Linked DNA regions of Caenorhabditis elegans. The protein of the gene in region 1 purifies or fractionates together with the protein of each later gene. This does not show direct contact. Each region holds a gene or a part of one and is shown in the gene's direction. Other genes may lie near its edges. The genes, in order: snrp-40.1 and aman-2.

Region 1 (4,339 bases):
TGGGAAAACCATCTCAAAGATTTGATTTTCCTTTGCATCCCATGGAAGTGGTTTTCTTGCTGCCCCAAAGAAACCACTGAGCTCTCGAAGTCCAATATCTGCAAAAAAAGTATTGACGCTTTTATAAACTTGAACTCAATCTCACTTGAAATTTTGCGAACGAATTCGTGAAGTAAACTTTTCTTCTCAACATAGGTATGAATATGCTCTGCAACAGCTTTTCTGTCTTCCCAGGATCTGATGGCATTGGCTGCGTTCATAACTGACATCGAAGTTTCGCCGAAGATGTTTGTGTATAAGGTAGGTGATTTTGTTTGAGAGAACCGTTCATTAATCTTCCTATATTGGGTGAAGCTTTTTTTCTCCTTAATCTTTCCTGGTGAGCTGAGTGTTGATGGTCCAAGCCCATTGTGAACATTATAATTGAGGGTTTGCATTGCACCTTCAGGTTTCGGGAAAGTGTACATCAGTTGAGCAAGCTGATTATTTGGAACTGCTGAATTGAAATTCTACGTAAACCTCCATATTTTGTAGTTTTGTTGCTTAATTAGCTGACTTTTACATAAATATAGCTTCAAAGTTTTCATTGTTAACAAAAATAAAAATGGCACTAAACAACCAAATTTCATATTCAGCTAGATACGCTAACGTTGACAATTTGTTTGCTAGAAAATACTTAATTTATATTTTTTGAAAGTTAAAATTTTGATGTACAACTCAGCACGTAAAAATTGTAAACTCAAACCCACCATTGAGTAAAGACGATCCAAAGATTCGTGCAGCCAAAAGCAATATAGTTTTAGTTTGCTGGAACTGTAGATATTCTTGAAGAACAGCATGGATTTTCTGATACTCTTGTTGGATTGACGTTAGACCCACTTGGCGCTCGCCAAAATTCATGAGACCGAACAAGCGTGAAAAGTCATCAACGTTTGCTGAAATTATTGTTACATTATTTTATTGGTGTTAACAATTGACTTACTTAATTCATGCAGAAGAACAGTGGAACGTTGTTGCAAAGTCTCAACGGCTTTTGGTCGGTCGTGTAACCACTCCATTTTTTCCTGCATTGAGAATTGATTAATGTGATTGAGTATACAAGTGGATATGTGCTCCAAAGGTTGGATATTTCTGTGATACTCAATCGCTCCGTCTATTTCCTCATTTCGTGTTCTTATATTTTCGTCATAGTAGGCCGGGCTGCTTGTATGGTTTGGTTGAACTGATTGATCATGTTGTTGGGTAACAAATTGGTTTTGTTGATTCGTAACAATTCGCTGAGTTATTTGATAAAGATTCAGCCTGTTCAACGCTTGCTGCGCCTGGAGCAATTGCTCTTGATCACTTTGCAACATCAGTGCCGCAATGAATTGATTGAGAAATATATTCTGAGTATCTGAAAACATATGAATTTATATGTAAAACAATCAAAACGAAAAAGCAACAATGAGAAACGGAAAAAAACTCTAAACTGATATAATGTACAAAAGATTCAGCATGGGAGGAAAGAAAAGTGGAGATGGCTTGGAGAGTTGGCAGGTTGCCAGGGGAACCTTTTTTGGCAAGCCTGATGCGTACGTAGCCTCAAGCGTTTTTTCGCCTTGATAACGTCTAAAGGTAACTGATAGCGGACAGAATCCAATGTTTATCTCCATGTCGTCTCCACTCTCCGTGTGAACCACGCTCTTCTGCCTAGTTGGCAAAAATTTGTTTTTTTTTCTGTAATGTGCACTCTTTCTCGTGGCCTCCACAAATTTCCATGCGGTCGTTGGTTGCCACACAGCAGCTCTTCTCACTCTTCTTTGTTTCTTTTTACTTTCCTTCTTTCCTATGCTCTCTTCTCAGCGCCGGCAGACATTGAGAGGAGACCCGACCTGCTGCCAGGGAGGGAGGACGAACGGCAAGTGTGCGCACTAGAAAATGTAAACGCGCTCCACCGCATTGCATTTACAACTCGTCTCCGCGTTTCTCACACTGCATCGTCATTGTCTATTCGAAAACGTCTTCCAGTGTTCAAATTTGTTTTTCCAGTGGAACCCAACATTTACCAACACAACGATGGCTCTTGTTACTTGTAAGTTTATTTTATAATTTTGTGTAATTTATTTTTATAAAACATTTCAGCTTCGGGACAGCAACTGGTCAGCTCTGGATTTCCACAGCAAACTGCGCAGAGATTCTCCAATTTGATGGTAAATATTAAACATTTATCAAACAACAAACAGAAATCTATATTTTCAGGCACCAACAATGGTTTTGCTAGGTCATGAAGGAGAAATTTACACCGGTGCATTCAGCCCAGATGGAACATGCTTAGCGACTAGTGGATACGACCAGAAAGTGAGTTTTTTTCAAATCCTTGTGGTCTCAAGAATTTATATTCAAATATTAAATTCTATGATTTAATTATTAATTGGTCTTTGCAAATAAGAACAATTGAACGTAGAACTTTGTATAGTCTTGAAAAAACCGAATATAAAACTACCTTCATACTAAACAACCCTTTTAAGCAATGATTTGCAGATCTTCTTCTGGAATGTATACGGCGAATGCGAGAACTTTTCTACAATCAAAGGACACTCAGGAGCAGTTATGGATTTAAAATTCACCACCGACAGCAGCAGTTTGGTCTCTTGTGGAACAGACAAAAGTGTTCGTGTCTGGGATATGGAAACCGGGACTTGCGCTCGTCGCTTCAGAACTCACACAGACTTTGTGAACGCCGTCCATCCGTCTCGTCGTGGTGTAACTCTTGTCGCTTCTGCCAGTGACGATGGAACATGTCGTGTGCATGATATGAGAACCAAGGAACCAGTGAAGACTTACACCAACCGATACCAGCAGACAGCAGTTACATTCAATGATTCTTCGGATCAAGTGATTAGTGGTGGAATTGACAACGTGCTCAAAGTTTGGGACATGCGTCGTGACGAGATTACTTACACTCTGACTGGACATCGTGACACAATTACTGGAATCTCTTTGTCACCAAGTGGGAAATTCATCATTTCCAATTCAATGGATTGCACTGTTCGACAATGGGATATTCGACCATTCGTACCAGGACAACGTTCGGTGGGAGTTTTTGCTGGTCATAATCACAATTTCGAGAAGAACCTTCTCAAATGTTCTTGGTCGCCATGTGAGAGATTCATCACTGCTGGCTCGTCGGATCGTTTTCTCTACGTCTGGGAAACACTGTCGAAAAAAATTGTGTACAAGCTTCCAGGTCACATGGGAAGTGTCAACTGTACCGATTTCCACCCAAAGGAACCTATCAGTGAGTTAAAAATAAATTACAAAAATTTAAAATTTCCATTGTTTGACCATTCAATAATTTCAATTTTTCAGTGCTCTCGTGTGGAAGTGACAAACGTGTTTTCTTGGGAGAAATCGATATGAGCTAGAAATTCAAAACATCCATATTCGCCGGTTAAATTTGTTTTTTGTCATTTTTCTGTTTTGTTTTTTTCACTGGATCTCCTTTTTTGATGTAATTTTTGAACTTACTTTATGTCCGACTCTCTTTATTTATTTTTCAGTGATCATGTTTTATCAAATGAATTCTTGCAATTCAAAATTGAAGTACGCCAGAAAAATTGTTTTAATGGAAATACGAAAGAAGATGAAGGCGGTAACAGCGAAAGATGAAGGTCAATATTTAATCAATTTACCGCAATTGCTCTAGAGTAAACAATTGGATGGATAATTATCAATGCGTGAAGAAGTATCAATTCGCATTCCGAGTTACTGGCAATTGTTTAATTCTCAAGTTCTCCTTTTTTCTTTCTTTTTTGTCAAATGGCAAAACAAGTTTAAGCATATTTTCCTTTTTTTAAGTGTTATAGTTGAGTCGTATCAAAATGATCGTTCCCTGAGTACTGTCATACTGAGTCGAGGGGCCGTATGCAAGCTTTTCAGTCTTTTACAATTTAAAAAAAGCATAGAATATGATTGAAACAAAAATCTAAGAAACCGCGCTCCATGCTTGCAAACGGTGTCGAGATAAAATTAGCAGTATCCACGGAGCAGTTATTTTGGCGCGACCGTGTATGATTTCAATCGAGTTTAATACTTGGATTATTAATACAGACCAAACTAAACTATTCCATGATGGGATGTCTGTGCACAGTTTTTTATTGAGCAAACAAGTACTTGTACGGTTGATTGCAGCTGCATGATTTCCCGATTCTCGCAGTGGACATGAATGACGTACTTAAAAACACCAACCGTATTTAAAATATTTGCTCATTCTTTTTTTTCAAAAAAAAAAAAAAAAATTACACCAGATATTAAACCAAATTGTCGATTCCTTGCCTTTTTAATTTTTAGGTATTTG
Region 2 (8,251 bases), on another chromosome or scaffold:
GTCGACGTTGTCTTTTTGGTGGGCTTTTCGAATATTGTCTCTATCGAAATTTTCTCGCTCTTCCTGCAATTTTTTTAATCTTTATTCAAAGTTTTTTTCAATATTTTCAACTTACAGCCAGTAGAAAATTTTTAATTTTATCGAAAACGCTTGAAGACGGACGAGAAGTACAAATTCCTCGATATAGATGCAATGAACTTTGATTTAAATTTTGAAAACACCGTATTATCATTCTGAATTCAAATTCGGAGTTTTGAATATTCAAAAAAGCTGTAAATATATTTATGAGACCAATGAAAACTCGAAATAAGCTAGAAAACCAATTTTTACACCGAAGGCTTTATTAAAGATCTCCAAACAATGTTTCAGGAAAGAATACAATGAATACAAAGAATTACAAAATTTCTTCCAAACTTTCAATGGTTCCGTAGGCGTTTATAGCTTCTTGTGTTAGACCCGCATTTCCAGGACGAACTACTAACTTTGTCTGTAACCCAGCTTTCTTGGCAGCAGCCGCTTCTGCTTCAACATCAGTCAGGAATAGTATTTCACTGGGAGGAATTTTAATTCGCTCGCTGATTTTCGTGTATGAATTGCTTTCTCCCTTCAGACCGATATTTGTGTCAAAGTAGCCATAGAGAATCTGAAAGAAAACATTAAAATGGATTGTGGAAAGAATATTATACTTTGGTCATATCTCCTTCAATTGAATTGGCAAACAAGAGCTTTTGAGCGTGGACCGATCCCGATGAGTAGATGTAGATCGGGATTTTTCTATTTTCAACAATTTTCAAAACTGGTAAAACGTCCGGATATACACTGAAATTGTAAAATTATACAATACGTGTTACTTATTTATTGTCGATTTTACTTACTGTCCTTTCACATCTCCGCGCTGGTAAGCCTCTTCCCAAATGAGCCCCTGGAGAGCTTTCATTGGTGTCAGCTGGAAAATATTGAATTTTAAACACCTTTTCTCAAATACTCTATAAACTTTTTTGTCTCTTTTTATCCAGTGTCTGACATTTTTTGTTACATCCTCAATGCATTCCTTTCTTGGTTCGCGGATCCGCCTGTAAAGTACATAAATTCGATAAAAACAAGCTGTGCAAATTAAATACTAACACAACTGCCACATCATTTTCCGCTTGTTGGTCTGCAATGTGCCTCAAATCTTCAACAATTATTTGAGTTGCTGGATTGTCGTAGTGCTCCTCCAAATAATTTCCAACGTTCTCGAACGCGTATGGAAAAAGCTCATCCTGTAAAAATAAAAACTTTAATTGATAATCAAATGGAAGAAATAGAATAGAAGAAAAAATAACCTTAACAAAGGAGATACTGGTTATTGTACCCTCAATATCTAGGAGCAGCGCGTTGAATTGAATAGTAGTGGTTGTCATGACTGGAATGCGGCTGGAATTTTCAAGAATTGGGCTATTTTGAACTAAATTAGTAGTGAAAGTGATGAAGAAAAATGGTTGTTTTCGTTTTTGTCATGATTTTTGAAACCAGAAAAGAGATGACATTAAAATAGATGAATATTGATTGTGAATAAAAGACAGTGCAAGGAACTTTGCAAAGATAGACGATAAACTACTGATAAGAGCGCAATATTGACGATTATTAATATTTGAAAATATGATGTAGACATTTGGCCTATTTTCTGACTAAATTAGTTATTTTTAATAGTTTCAAACCACATAAAAATGCAAAAAAAAGGAAATTAAGAGGGTTTTTGTGCAATACTTTTGTGAGAGAAAAAAATGTGTCGAGACACCTCTGTGCCGGAGAAACGGATTTCCAGAGAACATTGTTTCGCCATATTTATGTATATTTAGAAAATGATTTTAAGAATTTTTGAATAAATAACAATTTTACAATTATTTTCTTTTTGAATGTTATTAAATACATCACAATTAAAAAGCTAAGTACAAAATTCTTTCTTGAAACTGTGGTTCTCCAAAGTCACAATTCCTCTTTTAGTGAGGTCAGTACTATGCCACCTCGCTCCATTGTAAACACATATTTTATTGGAGAGAACAACTTATTTTATTGGACATGCCGTTACATTTTCTGAACCTGTTTTATTTTGTCTTTGATTGATTATCATATATAACTGAATAATTTTCAGCCTGATGGCAAGATAAAGCATGGGAAAACGCAATTTCTATATTATCCTATGTTTGGGAGTCTTTCTCACCGTATCACTCTATTTGTACAATGGAATTGAAACCGGAGCTGAAGCGCTCACCAAACGACAAGCAAGTTTTCAAATTAAGATTATAATAATATGACTTAAATTTATTTCAGAGATATGTAGATGATTTACGGCGGAAAATCGGAAATTTGGAGCATGTAGCAGAAGAAAATGGAAGAACGATAGACCGCTTGGAACAAGAAGTTCAACGAGCAAAAGCTGAAAAATCGGTAGATTTTGATGAAGAAAAAGAAAAAACGGAAGAAAAAGAAGTAGAAAAAGAGGAAAAAGAAGTTGCACCAGTTCCAGTTCGAGGAAATCGTGGTGAAATGGCTCATATTCATCAAGTAAAGCAACATATCAAGCCAACTCCATCGATGAAAGATGTTTGTGGAATTAGAGAAAACGTCAGCATTGCTCATTCAGACCTGCAGGTAGAATTTTATTTATATTTTAATAAAATTTGTTTTTTTAAGATGCTCGATCTCTATGACACCTGGAAGTTCGAAAATCCAGACGGAGGTGTATGGAAACAAGGATGGAAAATTGAATACGATGCAGAGAAAGTCAAATCTCTTCCACGTTTGGAAGTTATTGTGATACCTCATTCTCATTGTGATCCCGGATGGATTATGACTTTCGAAGAGTATTACAACAGACAAACTCGCAATATTCTTGATGGAATGGCTAAACATTTGGCAGAAAAAGACGAAATGCGGTTTATATATGCAGAAATATCATTTTTCGAAACTTGGTGGAGAGACCAGGCAGATGAAATTAAAAAGAAAGTTAAAGGATATTTGGAAGCAGGAAAGTTTGAAATTGTTACTGGCGGATGGGTTATGACAGATGAAGCTAATGCACATTATCACTCAATGATCACTGAATTGTTCGAAGGACATGAATGGATTCAAAATCATTTGGGAAAAAGTGAGTAAAAGTTTTTTTTTTGAATATTGCATAAATTGAATATTTAGGCGCCATTCCACAATCTCATTGGTCAATTGATCCATTCGGTTTATCACCATCAATGCCACATCTTCTAACTTCTGCTAATATAACCAATGCTGTAATTCAAAGGTATGAACATTATTTTTTAAAAATAGTAAAATATTTTCAATTTCCAGAGTTCATTATTCGGTGAAACGTGAGCTTGCTCTGAAAAAGAATCTTGAATTCTACTGGAGACAATTATTTGGATCAACTGGACATCCTGATCTTCGTTCACATATTATGCCTTTCTACTCTTACGATATACCTCATACGTGTGGCCCAGAACCGTCTGTTTGCTGTCAATTCGATTTCCGTAGAATGCCAGAAGGTGGAAAATCATGTGATTGGGGAATCCCTCCACAGAAAATTAACGATGACAATGTGGCTCACAGAGCTGAAATGATTTATGATCAATATAGAAAGAAAAGTCAACTTTTCAAGAATAATGTGATTTTCCAACCACTTGGAGATGATTTCAGGTGAGATTTTATTTCTTAATCTAGAAACTAATAGTGCTCTCTATTTAGGTACGACATTGATTTTGAATGGAATTCACAATATGAAAACTATAAGAAATTGTTCGAATACATGAATTCCAAATCAGAATGGAATGTTCATGCTCAATTCGGAACTCTTTCTGATTATTTCAAGAAGCTTGATACTGCAATTTCTGCGTCTGGCGAGCAACTTCCAACTTTTTCTGGAGATTTCTTCACTTATGCGGACAGAGATGATCATTATTGGAGTGGTAAGCATCAGGACAGAATCCAAAAATTCTTGTTTTCGAAGACGAAAAAAAAAGTTTTTTTTAATTTGAGAAAACGAAAACGAAAAAGGTTTTTCACCAAAAACACGAAAAAAATAAAACTTTGAAAAGTGATTTTGAAAAACTTTAATTTCGAGTGTAATTTTTTGGAAAAATGTAAAATTTAAAGTTTTATTCGTTTTCAATATTCCAGATTTTTTCTCTTTTTTTTTGTTTTTTTTTTTGAAAAAAGCAAACAATTATTTTTTTGGCCAAACACGAAACACAAAATAAACAAAACATTTTGTAAGATTGAAAAGCAATTTTGAAAAACTTAAACATCTATGTATCAAAAGTGTACTCTTTTTATAATTTCAAGTGTAGATTCTAGTTTTTCTGTTTTTCAGTATATCAAAGTTTTTCGCTTTTTTGTTCACTTTATTTTTTTGAAAAAAGCGAGAAATAAATGTATCGCTAAACAACTTCAAAAAAAACGAAAAAAAATAAATAACTAACAAAATTTTTTACCGCTTTACGAATTTTCAGGATACTTCACTTCCCGTCCATTCTATAAACAGCTTGATCGGGTTCTCCAACATTATTTAAGATCAGCTGAAATCGCCTTTACCCTTGCAAATATTGAAGAAGAAGGAATGGTTGAAGCGAAAATTTTTGAGAAGCTTGTGACTGCTCGACGAGCTCTTTCACTTTTCCAACATCACGATGGTGTAACTGGTACGGCAAAAGATCACGTCGTCTTGGATTATGGTCAGAAAATGATTGATGCTTTGAACGCATGTGAGGATATTCTTTCGGAAGCTCTTGTTGTATTGCTGGGAATTGATTCAACGAATAAGATGCAGATGGATGAGCATAGAGTTAATGAAAACCTTCTACCCGAAAAACGTGTCTATAAAATTGGGCAGTGAGTTTTTTAATGTCTCCATTTTCATTGATTAATTGTATTTCTTACAGAAACGTCGTATTGTTCAATACTTTATCTAGAAATCGCAACGAGCCAATTTGTATTCAAGTTGATTCTCTTGACGCTGGTGTCGAAGCTGATCCTCCAATTAAAAAACAACAAGTTTCGCCGGTTATTGCATATGATGAAGAGAAGAAAACGCTTGTTGTCAAAAACGGAATATTCGAAGTAATTTATAAAGGATTATCCTGAAAGTGACCATATAATCATGTCTTTCAGCTTTGCTTCATGTTATCACTTGGACCAATGGAGTCTGTCAGTTTCAGACTTGTGAAAAATACAACAACATCCAAAGTTGAAATAATCACCAATAATGCGGCAGAATTCAAAGAAACAAGTTTTAAATCTTCATCCACTTCTGGAGACTTTACTGTGAAAAACGACAAAGTTGAAGCTGAATTTGATGGAGAAAATGGAATGATTAAAAGAGCTACCAGTCTTGTTGATGATAAACCAATTGATTTGAATTCTCACTTTATTCATTATGGAGCACGGAAGTCAAAGAGAAAGTGTAAGTAATTAGATTTATTATTTGAAGATTATTAGAATATTTAGAACTATTATTAAATCTGAATGTTGTTAGTAATAGTAACGGGCTGATCGAACAGCGCGTTGAGTAGCTCTGAATGGAAGACGAGAGACAGTTGGTCCCTGGTATACTGTAGGAGAAGATCCATAGGATCCCATGGCCAGTGGAATCACCATTGGGTATCCAGAAGTTTCTAAAGATCATTAATGAATTAATAAAAATGAATTGATATCTGTTGACTCACTTGGGTACATTGGATATCCATTGAGTAGTAATGGTTGACCACCTCCCATCATCATATCAGATGCAGCGAAACGAGGCTTATACATGTTAGATCCATACGTATCTGAAGTTTTGAAATTTCCGATTTTATTAGGATAATGTGTGATTTCCACACAAGGTATTAAATCTCACCCATTCCCATCATACTGCTAGAAAGTCCATACGGCATCTGTTGCATTCCTTGCATGTTATGGATACTCTGAATTCCTTGCATTCCCTGTAATCCTTGAAATCCTCCCATAGAACTCATTGATCCCATGGACGACATCATTGGGTTACCCGAACCAGAATAGAATGAACTTCCGCTCATTCCGGGTCTACGAATATAGACTTCATCACGTTCATAAGGATTTCCATATCCTGAACGAGATCCCGAAGATGAGTAGACGTTATAAATAAATGGGTCGGCTGAAATAAGGGATTAAATAATATTTATCATTTTGTACGCATCCTAGTGCAGTTTATGAAACAAAATATTTCAGTAACTCACCTGAAACTGCGGATACAGCTAGAATAACTGCAGCTGCATAGAACATCACCATTCCTGCGTAGAAGCGCGAAATGATACAAATCAGCCGTTGACATGATAAACAAGTGATTGAAATAAGGCGATTTGGGTCAAGAGATGCATCCGTTCTTCACTCCTCTTCACTCTCTCACTTCTCATCCCTTCAAAATCTAGGCTTTTCCTCCAAATCTTTTGTTCGCTTTAAAAATGTTTTTCTTTCAGTCGCAAATGGAAATGAAGACAACCCGGCTGGCGCATACCTGTTCCTTCCCGATGGAGAAGCTAGAGAACTCAAAAAACAATCAAGTGATTGGATATTGGTAAAAGGAGAAGTTGTTCAAAAAGTGTTTGCAACTCCAAACAATGATCTGAAAATATTGCAAACGTACACACTTTATCAAGGGCTTCCATGGATTGATTTGGATAATGAAGTTGATGTACGTTCCAAGGAGAATTTCGAGTTGGCACTGAGATTCAGTTCTTCAGTAAATAGTGGTGATGAGTTTTTCACTGATCTCAATGGAATGCAAATGATAAAAAGGAGACGACAAACTAAATTACCAACACAGGCCAATTTCTATCCCATGTCTGCTGGTGTTTACATTGAAGACGATACTACCAGAATGTCAATTCATTCGGCACAGGCTCTCGGAGTTAGCAGTCTCTCGTCGGGACAAATTGAAATAATGCTTGATCGACGACTTAGTTCAGATGACAACAGAGGTCTTCAGCAAGGAGTTAGAGACAACAAACGAACAGTTGCACATTTCCGTATTGTTATTGAGCCGATGTCTTCATCGAGTGGTAATAAGAAGGAAGAACGAGTTGGATTCCATTCACATGTTGGTCATCTCGCTACGTGGTCTCTTCATTATCCTCTTGTCAAAATGATTGGAGATGCAACACCAAAATCTATTTCTTCGAAAAATGTGGAACAAGAGCTGAACTGTGACCTGCATCTAGTGACATTTAGGTGTTAAAAAATCTGAAATCTACAGTAACCCTCATCTTTAATCATTTTCAGAACACTGGCATCGCCGACAACTTACGAAGCCAACGAAAGATCTACGGCAGCTGAGAAGAAAGCAGCGATGGTGATGCATAGAGTTGTTCCAGACTGTAGATCCAGGCTTACCCTCCCAGACACGTCATGCTTAGCTACTGGATTAGAAATTGAGCCACTCAAATTGATCTCGACACTGAAGTCTGCGAAAAAAACGTCACTAACCAATCTTTATGAAGGAAACAAGGCTGAACAATTCCGACTCCAACCAAACGATATTTCCAGTATTCTTGTATCATTTTAATTTTATAATTGCTTATATGTAGTAGTTATATTTTCAGTTTTCATTACATTTCATGGGTATTTATTTATTAACTATAATCTTGTATAAGACGATGTAATTATGAAACAACGATTTCACACTTCCGGTTTTCATGTAAAATTTTTTTCGTTCCAAATAAATTGTTATAAAATTAATTACATCTTTCATCAAACTTCAAAAATGAAATTGCATTTTTAATAATTAGGAGTCTATTACGGAATTCATTAAATTTCAGAAAACAAAGTTAACTATATATTTCTCTAGTAGTTCCTTTCCCAGGAGACCCTTCCAAGATTTGTATCCACATGTTACCATAGTAACCACTCATTGCTTCTCGCTCACATTGTCTGCTCCCTCTCTTGGGGCTTATATCTCTTTCAAGCTATTACCTTCATTAGTATACATCTATGCCTCCATTTTCAGACGAAAAGATGACTGTAAGTATTAGATTTTAGTTTTCGCATTTTATTATTTCCATTTTCCAGAACCGGAGTATTGGGAGAAAAGTTCTGATTGATCAATCAAAACAGCAACAAATTAGTTTGATTAGTGGTTTTCGTGGTGTGGCAAGACATTTAAAAAGTGTTCTTACTGTTGAAATGTGAGCTTTTTTGGAATATTTAACATTTTATACATTAAATACATAGTTGAAAGATTTACGATTTATGATGAAAGAATACGATA

What was found.
Region 2: the proteins of snrp-40.1 (region 1) and aman-2 fractionate together in Caenorhabditis elegans (co-fractionation; one large-scale study listed by BioGRID). This does not show direct contact.

What each region holds. Positions count from the first base shown.
Region 1 is NC_003284.9:11,297,320-11,301,658, reverse strand, and holds snrp-40.1 (U5 small nuclear ribonucleoprotein 40 kDa protein), read left to right. Parts: upstream 1-1,874; 5' UTR 1,875-2,058; coding exon 2,059-2,074; intron 2,075-2,124; coding exon 2,125-2,192; intron 2,193-2,241; coding exon 2,242-2,340; intron 2,341-2,523; coding exon 2,524-3,280; intron 3,281-3,351; coding exon 3,352-3,407; 3' UTR 3,408-3,623; downstream 3,624-4,339. Other genes in the region: F08G12.3 (RasGEF domain protein), read right to left, coding at 1-98, 146-496, 750-935, 983-1,355.
Region 2 is NC_003283.11:11,927,130-11,935,380, reverse strand, and holds aman-2 (Alpha-mannosidase), read left to right. Parts: upstream 1-2,134; 5' UTR 2,135-2,153; coding exon 2,154-2,264; intron 2,265-2,313; coding exon 2,314-2,634; intron 2,635-2,676; coding exon 2,677-3,130; intron 3,131-3,177; coding exon 3,178-3,280; intron 3,281-3,327; coding exon 3,328-3,672; intron 3,673-3,720; coding exon 3,721-3,941; intron 3,942-4,484; coding exon 4,485-4,863; intron 4,864-4,913; coding exon 4,914-5,091; intron 5,092-5,142; coding exon 5,143-5,434; exon of another isoform or gene 5,435-5,502; coding exon of another isoform or gene 5,503-5,645; intron 5,646-5,696; coding exon of another isoform or gene 5,697-5,798; intron 5,799-5,866; coding exon of another isoform or gene 5,867-6,142; intron 6,143-6,224; coding exon of another isoform or gene 6,225-6,276; exon of another isoform or gene 6,277-6,331; intron 6,332-6,464; coding exon 6,465-7,215; intron 7,216-7,266; coding exon 7,267-7,549; 3' UTR 7,550-7,720; downstream 7,721-8,251. Other genes in the region: F58H1.8 (uncharacterized protein), read right to left, coding at 1-63, 116-232; F58H1.3 (Enolase-phosphatase E1), read right to left, coding at 395-643, 687-819, 876-946, 995-1,073, 1,126-1,262, 1,326-1,403; F58H1.2 (uncharacterized protein), read right to left, coding at 5,503-5,645, 5,697-5,798, 5,867-6,142, 6,225-6,276; osm-6 (Intraflagellar transport protein 52 C-terminal domain-containing protein), read left to right, coding at 7,975-8,004, 8,053-8,168.